Saccharomyces cerevisiae S288C: one gene and its partners. Changing the gene in region 1 together with any one later gene gives a genetic interaction. Each region holds a gene or a part of one and is shown on either strand. Other genes may lie near its edges.

Region 1 (3,505 bases):
TAGCTCATCAAGAAGGCGATGTTTGTTATTATATTCCAAGGCTGTTCAAATACAACAGTTATTATAGTGGGACAGAGGACGTTCGAATATTTGTTGGAGATTTAAAGTACCGGATGAGAGTTTCTTTGCAAATTTGCGAAAAGTATTATGATAGGCGGTTGTCGATGTTGTTCTGGAAAAATCATCCTTTACAGCAAATACACCTTATTGGCTGCATCATTGGACTCCAGTTCAAATGGATTGGGAAACAAGAATACATTTTTTTTCAGTTGGACGATTGTACTTCAGACTCTTCATTGGTGGGTTATACTAGTGACATGAGATTCTTAACATGTAAAGTTAAGAAGGATAGCATCCTATCATGGGGGTTGAACATAACCGATTTGATAGGCTTAACTCTTCATGTCTACGGGCAAGCAAGTTTGAACTATCAAGAGCTTCAAGTTGAATATTTAAGATTATGCTACAGTTTAACGGAAGAAATAGATCATTGGAAAATCACAATGAACATGCGTGAGCAACTTGACACGCCTTGGTCCTTAAGCGATTTTGTAATTGGAGAATTGTTCACGCAAGAGCAAGAGTGGACACCTGAGACATCACAGATTGAGGTAGTAAACCCGGATTTTGTAGGTATAGGGTACAAAACCCCAGAAAGTAAAAGAAATGAAACTACTTTCATCGAGCAACTGCAAGAAGAACGCTTGAAGGATGAATTAGAAATTATTAGTCCATACAATAGCACAGATACTTCGAATAGTGTGCATTCCTTGTCATTTCGGTTTGTATCGTCGCTAAAGGATTTTCCTGAAACTCACTTTTTGAATTCAGGTGATCAAATTGACAACGGCAATGACGAACAGTTAAAAAAACTAGAATATCAAAGCGCTAATCTACCTGTGATGATTCCCAATAGGACATCAGCAAAGTCAAACTTGATGTTGATCCTATTAGGACTACAAATGAAAGAGATTTCTAATTCTGACCTTTACAAACTAAAGGAAGTACGCAGCGTAGTAACTAGCTTAGCATCGTTTTTGTTTCAACAACAAAATGTTGGCGTCATGAAATCTTTTGACTCTTTGGAAAAGGAAGCGTTTCGAGACCTGGTTAATCGTCTAGTCAGCCAGGGTTTGATCGGATTAAAAGATAAAACAAGTGAGACATTTGATTTGCTTCCTCTAAAAAATCTTTTTGAATATGCTGAAAAACGTATATCAGTTCTAATGAAGCTACAATGTTATACAGGCACTGTGCAATTAAGTCATGTTCAGGAAAAGCTACATTTGCCGTACATAACAACGAACGGCATCGTTGATGTTTTCAAAGAATGTCTTAAAAGGACAAAGAAACAGTATCCTGAGGTACTAAAAAATTGGTGGATTGATCTTGATCCGAAGAATGGTATGGAGGACCAAAACAGTGGAATATTATTACATTTGGAATACGCAGCAGCATATTCATAATTTGTTAGAAAACTCGCATCGTCAATAACGGCGCATCTCTCTAGGCCTGAAAAATTTTGCGATGAGCTCAAAATAAGATACTATAACTTTATGCATATATTGTATATATATTATATCAAACAAATAAGGACGTTAACGAAATTTTATATGGCCTTATTTAACGTAGAAGGTTGGTCTATTAAGACAAAAACCGTCGCTTTTGATAACAAGACTAATAAGTCTTCAAAAGATAAAAAAAAAAATAATAGAAAAAATGGCAAACTTACAAGAGAACAGAAGTTGAAAGAAGAGACAGAGGCTGAGTTGAAGGAACAAGTGGAAGACATTCCTTCCGAAGGATCAGTAGCCAAAGACATCCCAAAAAAAAACCAAGAGAAAAGTGATCAAAATGAAACGAGCAAGAAACGCAAGCACGATGAAGAAGCCCCTCTGATGCAAGTAAAAGAAAATATTGAAAAACCTACAAAGAAGCAACTAACCCCTTTACAACAAAAGATGATGGCTAAACTGACTGGTTCTAGATTTAGATGGATCAATGAACAACTGTATACAATTAGCTCTGATGAAGCTTTGAAATTAATAAAAGAACAACCACAATTATTTGACGAATATCATGATGGTTTTAGATCACAAGTGCAAGCATGGCCGGAAAATCCAGTTGATGTTTTTGTTGACCAAATTCGTTATAGATGCATGAAACCTGTGAATGCTCCAGGTGGGTTACCAGGTCTTAAGGATAGTAAAGAAATAGTTATTGCTGATATGGGGTGTGGTGAAGCTCAATTAGCATTAGAAATCAACAATTTTTTCAAAAATTACAATAAGAAAGCGAAGAAATATTTGAAAAGACGCCATAAAGTCCACAGTTTTGATTTGAAGAAAGCTAACGAAAGAATAACTGTGGCAGATATTAGAAATGTGCCGCTACCAGATGAGTCCTGTACTATAGTGGTCTTCTGCCTGGCTCTAATGGGTACAAATTTCCTCGATTTCATAAAAGAAGCTTATAGGATTTTAGCGCCAAGGGGTGAATTATGGATCGCAGAAATTAAATCAAGGTTTAGTGACGGCAAAGGTAATGAATTTGTAGACGCTTTGAAGCTGATGGGATTTTTTCACAAAAAGACCTTCGACGAGAATAAGATGTTTACAAGATTCGAATTTTTCAAGCCACCTGCGGAGATTATTGAAGAGAGAAGGCAGAAATTGGAAAGAAGACAAAAGTTTATTGAAGTTGAAACTGAGAAGGAAGAATTAGAAAAGAAAAGACGGAAAATTGCCGAAGGAAAATGGCTCTTGAAGCCCTGTATTTATAAAAGAAGATAACGACTTCATCCGTCATTTTCATATTTTAATATTGTTTTTTCTTTTGTATACTATATTTATACATATAATTGTATTCTTTTCCTGTAGTACATTGCGTAAAGTAAAAATCATCTAGAAGAAGTACTCCACAATGTTCACATGAGGGACAAGGTTTTATTGTCTCTGGAAAAACGATTGGATATTAGCCAGCCTTGAAAGATTTTCAAAGCCCGGAACAGAAGGAAGAGCGAACCAATTATTAGTATCTTGACCGTCAGATTGTCCACTATTGGGCTCCCATCTATCGCAACAACGAAATCCATACGTGTTCCAGGCGGTCAGACACATTGCAACAATGACCAAAATCAGGTAGAATATTTTCAGTCTTAAAAGACACAACACAGCGAAGACACCCCAGATTACGGGTGTCACATACATCGACCACCAGAATAACTTAGAATCGATGGCATTTATTGGTGGGCCCGGCGCATATTGCTTATATGATTCGAAAGTAAAATTAGAATCTTTGTTCACATCTGTAGAATCATACCACCAGCGTAATTGGACCAGTTTCCGACCTGTAATGTTTTTTGTTAAGTAAAAGTCAAAAGAAAGTAAAAGAACGACAGTGATGAATTGAGGTGTGAAATTCAAAAACATTGATCCTATGATATAAAATACAATGGGAACTGCCTTACCTGCCAGATGAAATGATAGTAGCAACGGGTGCGACG
Region 2 (3,597 bases), on another chromosome or scaffold:
TGGGAACTATCATGTTTTTGTTGGTACAAAATAAGGCATTATGCTAAAAACATACTATTTAACCACGTACACACATATTTATTTACAAGGATACCAAACTTGATCTTATTAACGGAGGCTTAAAGTTGGCTCAAGAAATTGTTTTGCTTGATTCGCTGCCTGTTCGCCTTCCTTATGTTCTTTCTTCTCTTTAAGAGAGCCTGTCCCTCTGGGTCCTCAGCCGCATGTTCGACAACGTGATCACTATCCAATACGCTCCATAACCAATTTGGATACTCCTTGTCCTCGAGTGCCACTGCGTCTTTACCGCTCTTCCATATGTTTAAGTTAAGCGATGTTCCCGCAGGACACGACGACACCACTGACTTAACCGTGGGTTTATTATATAAGATACGACTGGTCGATATCAACCTGTAACCCAAACTGCGCGCCAACATCTTCAGTCTTCAGCAGCTATTTCCTTTGCTGTAGATATAACTGCTTTAAGAAGCCTATTAGTTTTTTCACTTTCGAGATTTTTGCGCCAAACAAGGGCGCACAAATACCCGGCATCACGCATTTATTATATGAAGAGAATATTAGAACAGGCATTTCAAAGCATGATTCAATGACTATAACATTGCTATAGAGGGGGTAGTGAAGAATTATCTAATGTACAAATGGTGAAGCAGTATATATGCGACAAAATACTAAAAAAAGTAGTGCAAAAAGAATTACTGCAGAAGTTGGTCTCTGTAGTGTGGTTGGTTATTGACGAACTTGGCACTTCTCTTATCGAGCCTTTTCTTGTCGAACCTCTCAGTTTGCCAAACACGCTGTTGAGTCTGCACGCCCTTTTTGTCGAAGGCAGGTAAGAACGATCTCGTCTCTGCAGCGACCAGGGTACCTTGGCCTTCGGTCAGTATCACCTCGGGCTTTAAGTCTTGCTTGTAGTATCTTTGCAAGGACCTGTGGCCAACTTTGATGCCTGTCGGTAGATGCAGCTCTATACCATCGTTATATAAGTACTCTTGTGGCAGATCTTCGTCGTCGCTTCCGGCTTCGTCGCTGCCCACGTCTTCCCAGTCATCTTCGTTGTCTGGTGTTGTGTTGCTATTAAAGTTTGCGTATGAGCTTGTAAAATCGTAGAATTCAGATATCTCCAACCTTTCATCCTCGCTTTCGTAGGGAATTTTACAGTGTCTCTTTGCCAACATGTGCTGTCTTACAGCGGTCAACGTTCTCCCCTGGTAATTACAAACAATACAAATGTTCCCAAGACCAATCTTCTCCGACATGTATTTTACCAAGCCGATCTTGTCGACTAGATATTTCTGTTCTGGGATATAAAACCCGTGGGTCCTAAACATGTGTTCCAGGTTTTCTTCAACATCTTTGAAGTGCTTATTGTGCTCACAAAATAGACATTGTTCCAGTGGAATATCGACTCTGTTGCGTAGCTTTTCTTGCATTACTCTTTCCGCCATTTCTTCCTCGGTCAACTGTTCAGGCTCCTCCTTCTTAGGTTCTTCCTTTTCCTTGTTCTCCTCATTTTCTTGCAAAGAGAGCTTGCTTAGGTCGGGAGTATTTCCCTCTTGGCTCTTTTGCATGTTTTCAAGCATATTAGCCCTGGCAATTTCCAACAGTTTCTTTTTCTTTTCGAGCAATGCTTGCTTTTCCCTTCTTTTCAACTCCTTTTTGGTAACAGGTTTCTCCTTTTCAGCAGACTTACTAGTACTGGCAGCAGCTGCAGACACTTTGGAGTCAAATGTCTCAAATGATATTGGTGGCAATTGTGCAACACGTCTTTTCAAATTGTAGCGATGCCAATCGGACTTCATGTGGGCCCGCTGCTCGTCGCTTGAATCAAAGGTCAGGACACATGAATTACACGTATAAACACCACTGCTACTCATCGTATTGTTACTGATATGCTCTCTTCTTGACTTCTAATGAGAAGCATCTCATAACCTGTACTAAAAGTGGAAAGAGGAAAATTTTTTTCACCTCATCGCATCGGTACCCATAAGAAAAACTTTCAAAATATAGTAAGAAAAGAGAATAAAAATAGGAAAATATCGCCGTGGTAATAATGTTATAATTAATATTTCGTATATACTTATACATGTACAAATAGCTACACCACTAGGGTTTGTCTTGAAAGAAATAAAGAGAGTCACGGGGAATATCGGGAATGAGAGTGGATGTGCTCTCAGTTGGCCTTCTTGCCGTCATTTTCACGAAACCATTTCCTGATATACCAGGAACAGCCAACCATGTAGAATGGCACGACCAGAATGTTTGATAGGACACCAAAAATCCATTGCAACGGAACAAAGCGGCTTTTCTTTGCGGTGAGCCCAAGGTCCATCCCCATTATCATCCATCCGACAAAATCTGTAAAAACGTCATCATCACCTCTGGCCAGCGACTTGGCAATGATATCACATGCTTGTTTGCATGGGATAGCGTCTGAGGGGCCTTCGATCAACTTTGTAATTTCGGGTTTCGTTAGCTGCTCTACAGTGAAACCTTCGCTTTCAAAATTACCAGGATAAACACAACTGATACGGAAGTTCGTCAGTTCTTGTCTTAAGATTGCTACCAGTGATTTGATTGCAGCTTTTGCAGGCGCATACTGGGAATAGCCCACAAATGGGTAAAGCGCGGTGGCACTAGAAAAGATGATGAGGTGGTGTTCCTTGGTTTGCTCTGCAAGGGCAATCTGATGTGCCACGTTCAAAGTTGTTTTATAGTTGATGTCCATACCCAAGTTCAACTCATGTCCGCTTAGCCCACGAAATAACTTAGGAACAGCCCCCCCTGCACAGCATAACGTTTGTGTAGGGAGTAAATCCAAGTCTCTCAGGGCATTGAACAAACATTCCACGGATTCGTAGCAGGACAAGTCGCATGGGTAGTAAAATAACCGTTGCTCAAGGTCCAAGGGCGCAGCCAACTTATGTTGCACTTGGCCCTCGTCAGTGGTTTCCCTTCTCAGGTGAGCTTCAATCCTAATTTCGTTGCATGTGTCCAGCAGTCTAGCCTCTGACCTACTGACGATAATAATCTTTGTGTTTTCAGCCTCATTATAATATTTTTTGGCGAATTCCTTTCCAAGACCTTGTGAACCACCAGTGATCAACACAACTTGGTCTTCTAACGTAAACTTCATTACCTACAAAAGATTATACCGATAACTTCTTTTCTTGAGGCAATCTTATTTAATCGCTTCCAGTAAATGCAGAGAAACTCCTCTGCATTTTTCATTTTTTTGTTTTTTTTTTGTCGTTTATTGTTTTTTAGCCTTACGTTTCACGTTAAGGAACAATGATAGTAAAATTACTCCAGGAAATACAAGTAGCACAAAATACGGAGGAATACGATATGGAAGCAACCATCAAAGTGGTACTGCTAGGAGATTCATCAGTGGGGAAAACCAGTATAGTGACTAGGCTCAAATCAGGTAAGTTTCTAGCAAAACATGCGGCTACGATAGGTGCGGCGTTCATCACCAAGACAATCGAGGTTCCTTCTAACGACTCCTCTACGGAGAAACGTATCCATATGGAGATATGGGACACGGCGGGTCAGGAACGGTATAAATCACTGGTGCCA
Region 3 (3,198 bases), on another chromosome or scaffold:
GATATCTACATGAAATCATTAGAGCTATATAACGATATCCCAGAAAAGTATAAAAAGAGAAAATTCAGACTGCCCAAACAAATTCTAAAAAAGTATCACCAGCCAAAAAAGACCAGTTCATACTTAAAGGAGCTATTAAGTAAAACAAGAGAAGATTTCATACCTGTGGAAAAGTTATTGAAGGATAAACGGTTGACATCAAAGGACAAATCCAAGCTACAACGCTTAAATCGTGAAGAGACGGAAGATGCTCTAAACAAAAGAACATTTTTTCAGGTAAAGGGCTACTTAGAGGATGAGAATGAGATCTCTGATTACGAGTTGGACGACTGCCTCATAGAACTGCCTAATGGGAACATATGAATGAGAAAATCTTTTTTTTACCTTTTTCCATTAAGAAATATTCATCTCCTTTTAAGATCAACATATGTAACAATAAATATACTCTTTTAAAGATGTTCTTTTAATTTACTTACTGAAATTTAATATTAATAAAAGTTCGAAAACAAAGACTAAATACAAAAATAAAAAGATCATAAATTCAAACTTTTAAGAATGTCTTTTACGGATACATATTTACATATTAGACTATGATAATCATATATGCTCCTTTCTATCTCTTCTTGCTGAACTTTCTTCCTTTTTATGTTTTTTTGACTTTTTGGATTTTTTATGCTTCGATTTATCACCTTCATCGCTGCTATGCTTACTTTTCTTTCCTTTTTTACTCTCCTTCTTGCTTTTCTTCTTCTTCTTCTTCTTACTCTCACTGTCGTTACTAGTCTTTTTATCTTTTTTCAATTTTTTTCTCTTGACCTTGTTATCATCTTCATCACGCCTTCTTCTCTTCTTCCCTTTACTCGAACTTGCACTAGATACAACAAAGCTGGCTTCCTCCTTTTTACCAAGATTAGTAATGGTTCCTTTCAGCCCTTCTCCCTTTACAAACCACCTGTATAGAGGTGAGCTACTTTTCGATACAGCAGTAGCAACTGCCTCATTTTGAGTAAATTTAATACTGCCATTATTCGAATCAGTGCTTACATCCAGGTTCTTCAGATGTCCATCAAATAGCCTTTCCCACCATGCTTCGCCATCATTCCCGCCAGGAGCATTACCCAATCCCTTCTTATCTCTCTTGTGCTTTACCAGTATGGGTCTTTTCAAACCACCTTCTCTAAACGCTTCTCCTTCTTTCCAACCATATGATATCAGATATTCTTTGCTATCCATGTCCGATTTATTCTGATAATATTTCCGCTTGTATCATTCAATTTTCTATGTACATCATGACAATGAATTGTAGAGTGCATCAATGTCTTTTTTAAAGTCATCGCTAAAAAATTTTCAGGCGGGAACTTATTCAAAATGGCAGATTTACTACAACATTGAAAACCCTTTATATTTATTATATGAGAATCATTAGCGATAAACAAGCCCACATATTCACTTCATAATCTGTGATAATGGAGTATGGACATCACGCTAGACCAGATTCAAAACGACCATTGGATGAAGGATCACCAGCAGCCGCAGGATTAACTTCTAAGAAGGCGAACGAAGCTTTAACAAGAAATAGAGAATTAACAACTGTATTAGTCAAAAATTTGCCTAAGAGCTATAATCAAAACAAAGTCTATAAGTACTTCAAACATTGTGGGCCCATTATACACGTTGATGTTGCGGATTCGCTGAAGAAGAACTTTCGTTTTGCACGTATTGAATTTGCCAGGTATGATGGAGCCCTCGCTGCAATAACCAAAACACACAAAGTTGTAGGTCAGAATGAAATTATAGTATCTCATTTAACAGAATGCACATTATGGATGACGAATTTCCCCCCAAGTTATACTCAAAGAAATATTAGAGATCTATTGCAAGATATTAACGTTGTTGCACTCAGTATACGGCTTCCCAGTTTACGATTCAATACAAGCAGAAGGTTCGCTTACATCGATGTTACTTCTAAAGAGGATGCAAGATATTGTGTAGAAAAATTGAATGGACTCAAAATAGAAGGTTATACTTTAGTTACTAAAGTTTCCAATCCGCTGGAAAAGTCGAAACGGACCGATTCTGCCACACTAGAGGGGCGAGAGATTATGATACGAAACCTAAGTACAGAATTGCTCGACGAAAACCTTCTGAGGGAATCTTTTGAGGGATTTGGTTCCATTGAAAAAATCAACATACCTGCTGGACAGAAAGAGCACAGTTTCAATAACTGTTGTGCATTTATGGTTTTTGAAAATAAAGATTCTGCTGAAAGGGCACTTCAAATGAATAGAAGTTTGTTAGGTAATAGGGAAATTTCCGTTTCCTTGGCTGATAAAAAACCATTCTTAGAAAGAAACGAAGTCAAAAGACTTCTCGCATCGCGTAACAGCAAAGAACTAGAAACACTAATATGCTTATTTCCACTTTCAGATAAGGTGTCACCAAGCTTAATCTGCCAATTTCTTCAGGAAGAAATACACATCAATGAAAAAGATATTAGGAAAATACTTCTCGTTAGCGACTTCAATGGCGCCATTATTATATTTAGAGATAGTAAGTTTGCAGCAAAAATGCTAATGATACTAAATGGATCTCAATTTCAGGGAAAGGTGATACGTTCAGGTACTATTAATGACATGAAAAGATATTATAACAATCAACAGAATCACAGCATGAAACACGTCAAACCTAGTTGTATAAACATGATGGAAAAAGGACCAAATCTTCAAGTAAAGAAAAAAATTCCTGACAAACAAGAGCAGATGTCCAACGACGATTTTCGCAAGATGTTTCTAGGTGAGTAGACTAACCGAACCGGAGAAAGACGAACTTCTAATAGGATGTCATTTTAGCAGTGAATATAAACCCAAGTTTCTTTCCAAACGTTCACATACATCAAGCAGCCAACATTCGAGAGAGCAGAGATTACGTAATTATATACAAGGAACCTTTATCTAAACATTTTCTTCGAAGGTATTATTTTCATATTAAACGTAATACCATTTTTGCACCTCAGGCGGTATTTGAGAAGGGGGTTTAACACTATCTTCAAGTGTGACACCATTACCAGCCCTTTCTGTATTAGGCAGGTTGTCATACTTCTCCTGGAGTGATCCTGAAATGAGGTTTTTCCACGAATTGTGACATTTCTTTATAGTTTGGATGGTTTTATTGGAATTTTGATACTGTTCATGAAAGGCG
Region 4 (4,243 bases), on another chromosome or scaffold:
ACTGCAACTTCTATATACCTCCTTTGTTTGTGTTTCTAAAGCACTGTGACAAATCCTGCTTGAAAGCACATGATATCACCAGACGTGTTGCACTATCTTCAGTTCTATCCTAAATTGTTTTCCAGTCTTAAGATAAAATTCATTCCAGTTCGGGTAACATACACCGTTTATGACTGACGCTTCTCTTTACGGAAAATTGTTTTTTTCGCTATTGTTGCAAAAGTACAATGGAAAATGCCCCACTGAAACATGAAATAAGAAGAGAAGAATCAAGTTTATGCAAAATATTGTTAGAGTAACCGCAGCAGATTGTGATACTCAATTAGAGAGATTATTACAATATATATATATATAATGATTACATGGACGTTAATCGTTACATAGAATTAAACCACGCGTAAGTATGGGGTAATCATGAAGTAGACTTCAGGGTTTTTTTCTTTTTTCTTTTGAAAATTCGTTTTGTTTGACTCTTATGTATATTGGGAAGAAAATATGGAAGAAGAGTTATTGAGATTATTTCAAAACCTTACCGTCAACAATTTCCTTATCTTCGCCATTGACAACAACAGGCTTATCCCAAGCCCACATGTTGTTGACAAATTCTTTGTCTTCTTCCTTGGTTGGGTCCAACTTGGTGTATTCGTAAGATTCCCAGTCTGGAGCGACATCAAAGGCTGGAGCGAAATCTTGGCCTCTGACCATAACGGCACCAACAATACCATTATTGTTGTTTTCACCATAGACAACTAAACAACCGAACATGTACTTAGTAGAAGCGGACAATCTGTTGAAAAAACCACCGACCAAGTTGTTGGACATGAAAGTCAAGGTAAGTTCGTCGTTGTATTTGTAACCAACCTTCCAGATGGAGTATTCTTCAGGGTTGTAGTGTTCCCAGAACCATGGCAAAGCAACTGGTCTGGTGTCGTCGTTGGAGTACTTTCTCTTCCAGTCATCCAAGACAAATGTGGACTTTCCTAAAGCTTCCAATGGGTGCTTTGGCTTTTTAGCTGGAGCAGCATCATCTGCTGGCTTAGCTTCGTCCTTCTTCTTTTCAGCCTTTGACTTTTCGGCCTTTGGCTTTTCAGCCTTTTGCTTCTTTGGTGGAGTGTAGGTTAGAGCCTTTTCAGCCAATTTGACTTCAGCAAATGGAGTCTTCACGATTGGAGAAGCAGCAACAGTGTTGAACCATCTCATCAAATGAGGATGCTTAGCTCTCCATTCAGGGCCCAAAATAGTGGCCAAACCAAAAGCCCAAGAACCAGCGGCATGAAGGTCACCTAGAGAAATGTTTTCGGTAGCAACAAAGGTGTAGTCTCTCAATCTAGCATCGAAGACAGCAGCTAGGTTGTCGATTTTAACAAAACAAGCATCAACGTCTTTCTTGTTGTATGGAATCAAACCTTTGAAAGAAAGGAATGGACGAGCAATGTTGCTCATGACATCGGAATTAGCTAGAGATGCCCATCTAAGGATTTGAGACTTTTCGATAACGTCGGAACCTAATAAGCGAGCTCTTTCTTTTTCATCGGCAACTTGATTAGCCACTAAATATACATCATCTCGATGGTTATACAACCATTAATTGAAGAAATGTTAGTAAAACAATCCTTTATATTTTTTCCTGGATTAGGACACGCTTTGTACTTCCTTTTTGTTATTTTGACTTTCATTTTTCTTTAAGAAACATATCAGAAATACAAATATCAACATATGAGAGGTTACCTATTATTACCCATTCAGACAGGGATAACTGTTTGATAAAATTTTTTTTCATCATTATGTTTCGAAGAAAAATGACGTGCCAAATAAACGAACGGGAAACGCGCAAAACAATGTATGTGGAAGTGTTAAAATAAAATATGGAACATACAATAAAATTGGATAGCCAAAGCTTCAGTTAGCTTTAAGCCCTTTGGACCCAAAAATGCAGGGGCTTGCTTCAATGGGAACAAAGAAGCAAACTCGCTAGATTGTTCTAGATCAACGATCTTGACATCTAGTTTAAAGTAAGAAATCAAAGCTTCAGAAGCGTAGTTTCTTGGAGATCTATTAATGTATAAAGTACCTTGGGACATCTTGAATCTATCGAGGGCCAAAATCAAAGAATTGAGTTGGTATTAAGGATGGACACCAGTTTTGAACAAAATTAACGACGGAATGGATGAATTAAATATGAAAAAGAAAGTATTGCAAACTGTTGATGAAAAAAATTTTTCTTTCAATTTTGTCAGCAGCAGAGCGCATTACCCTGCCGGCCACATGCCGAATTAAATTAAATGAGGGCTGCTATTGCCAAATGTGATGGCTTGCCTACAGAGGTTAATTTCCCTTGTTTTGGGCTTCCTCTCTCAACACGATTGACACAAGCAATAGAGGCAAAGGTGTGTAATGAGTTCGTGTACCAATTAAAGTAAAGTAGAGTGGTTTAATTGGGATTACACGATTAAAAAGTTTCACCCAGACACCAAATTGAAAATTTTTTAAAATGAATTCTTTTTATTCTCATCTCCGGTAAAGAAAAGAGGAAAGTACAATAAAAGAGATGAGATGACCAAGAGATGAATAACAAGTGAGGACTGAGACGTTGTTGCAAGTGATAAAGAAAGTCCGGGAATTGAAAGATATAGGAGACTGAGATGAGTAATTCACTTGAGGAGCGCCTTCGTGCTAATTCAAGCGCCTTCGATGGTTTATTGGCTTTAATTCCTGCAAAATACTATTATGATGAAAAAAGTCAAGAGCAATGGAAGGCCAAGAAGAAAACCAAAGAACAGAGTAAAAATGATAAACTGAAAAAATTAGACCCGGAGCAACGTGATGATGAAACATCTAGTACATTAGAAGTAATGAAGAAGAAGGAGAAAGACGCAAAGCCGGTGGTCCTACCTGGTGAAAAATTCAAGCACATGAAAATGCAAAAGCAAAAGGAAGCAACATCAAAAGTGGAAGGAGACTCCGACCTGAACGTAGAAGTAAACGATCCTATGATAATAGCACCAGACGAAGATGAAGAAGAGGAAGAGGATATTAAGGTGATCTTTGATGATGAGGGAAATGAAATACCATTAGAATCTAAAAAAGATACTACAGAGCCCGATAGATCTGTCGAAAAGAAGTCTATTACAGAGGAAGAGAAACTACAAAGAAAGAAAAACTTGGAAGCACTACGTTCCAAGTTACAAGCGAAAATTTCAGATATGAAGAGTAAAAGGAAAGCACCCGGTTCTAGAGAGGCTATTCTTGCTCAAAGGAAACGCAAGGAAGAGTTGAAAAAAAGAAAGCGTCTAGAAAGTGAACAGGAACAGGATCAGGATGAAATTGCGTCTGATTCCGATATGGAAGACATCGATAGTGATTTAGAAAACAATTCGAAAAAAAGATTCAAAAAAGGCAAGAAGGACTCAGAAATTAACGCAGATGGTGTAATGTTTCAAAATATCATATTCGATGATGGTGCAAGGGCCACTTCAGATTTACAAAGGTTAAGAAAAGCTGGTAGAACGAAGGGTCCGGCTAAGAATGATGTAAAATCACACTTAAAGTTATTAGAAGCCAAGAAGAATAAGATGGAGGCGAAAGACGAACTAGAACAAATCAAGCAGAAGGAAAAGGAAAAATGGCAAAAGGCTATGTTACAAGCAGAAGGAATTAAGATTAGGGATGACGAAAAACTACTTCGCAAAGCTATAAAGAGAAAGGAAGCACAAAAGAGAAAGTCTGCGATTGAATGGAGCGAACGTAAGAGGGTTGTGGAAGACACGATATCTGAAAGACAAAAGAGAAGAGAAGAGAATCTGAGGATTAGGAAAGACAACAAGGGTAAAAAGAGAAATAAGCAAGAAAAGATGAAAAGAAAGTATGTCGGTAGTGCCGTACCAAAGAAAAGAGCCGGATTTGAGGGTAGATTAAAAACAGGTAAAAAGAAGGGAGGACCTAAATAATAATCACGATAATAATAACAACAATAATAGATATATATATATGTATGAACATATATATACAGATACATATATATATATATATATCTATATATATACCATCGCATTTTTTCCTTAACGAGAAGAGCACAGCAGAGCTTAAGATGGCATGCATTTATAGAACAACACTCAACACATAGCGGGGGGAGGGTTCTGGAAATACAAATGGTAGTGCAATTTACAGCCTGGATTAAAGGGGGATCTGCAATTGGGACAAATAAGGTTTGAATTGTAGTCGTAATACTCTGCAAACGTCATTT

Evidence for each region.
Region 2: mutations in RRP8 (region 1) and REI1 together harm fitness more than expected from each alone (negative genetic interaction), as found in Saccharomyces cerevisiae (2 studies listed by BioGRID).
Region 3: mutations in RRP8 (region 1) and TMA23 together harm fitness more than expected from each alone (negative genetic interaction), as found in Saccharomyces cerevisiae (3 studies listed by BioGRID).
Region 4: mutations in RRP8 (region 1) and TEF4 together harm fitness more than expected from each alone (negative genetic interaction), as found in Saccharomyces cerevisiae (3 studies listed by BioGRID).

Annotation. Positions count from the first base shown.
Region 1 is NC_001136.10:610,460-613,964, forward strand, and holds RRP8 (25S rRNA (adenine645-N1)-methyltransferase), read left to right. Parts: upstream 1-1,613; coding exon 1,614-2,792; downstream 2,793-3,505. Other genes in the region: STN1 (Stn1p), read left to right, coding at 1-1,466; TVP23 (Tvp23p), read right to left, coding at 2,946-3,505. UniProt on the Saccharomyces cerevisiae protein: S-adenosyl-L-methionine-dependent methyltransferase that specifically methylates the N(1) position of adenine 645 in 25S rRNA. Required both for ribosomal 40S and 60S subunits biogenesis. Required for efficient pre-rRNA cleavage at site A2.
Region 2 is NC_001134.8:738,139-741,735, reverse strand, and holds REI1 (Rei1p), read right to left. Parts: upstream 1,896-3,597; coding exon 714-1,895; downstream 1-713. Other genes in the region: mitochondrial 54S ribosomal protein mL54 MRPL37, read right to left, coding at 120-437; SLM6 (Slm6p), read left to right, coding at 1,348-1,800; TSC10 (3-dehydrosphinganine reductase), read right to left, coding at 2,192-3,154; Rab family GTPase YPT10, read left to right, coding at 3,367-3,597. UniProt on the Saccharomyces cerevisiae protein: Pre-60S-associated factor involved in the cytoplasmic maturation of the 60S subunit. Involved in the dissociation and recycling of other late pre-60S factors like ARX1, TIF6 and ALB1 before newly synthesized large ribosomal subunits enter translation.
Region 3 is NC_001145.3:802,491-805,688, reverse strand, and holds TMA23 (Tma23p), read right to left. Parts: upstream 1,234-3,198; coding exon 598-1,233; downstream 1-597. Other genes in the region: RRN9 (Rrn9p), read left to right, coding at 1-363; U6 snRNP complex subunit PRP24, read left to right, coding at 1,467-2,801; inorganic diphosphatase PPA2, read right to left, coding at 2,985-3,198. UniProt on the Saccharomyces cerevisiae protein: Trans-acting factors of the ribosome biogenesis process.
Region 4 is NC_001143.9:280,729-284,971, reverse strand, and holds TEF4 (translation elongation factor EF1B gamma), read right to left. Parts: upstream 2,082-4,243; coding exon 1,877-2,081; intron 1,788-1,876; exon of another isoform or gene 1,693-1,787; intron 1,551-1,692; coding exon 517-1,550; downstream 1-516. Other genes in the region: ribosome biosynthesis protein RRP14, read left to right, coding at 2,643-3,947; HOT13 (Hot13p), read right to left, coding at 4,113-4,243. UniProt on the Saccharomyces cerevisiae protein: Subunit of the eukaryotic elongation factor 1 complex (eEF1). Probably plays a role in anchoring the complex to other cellular components.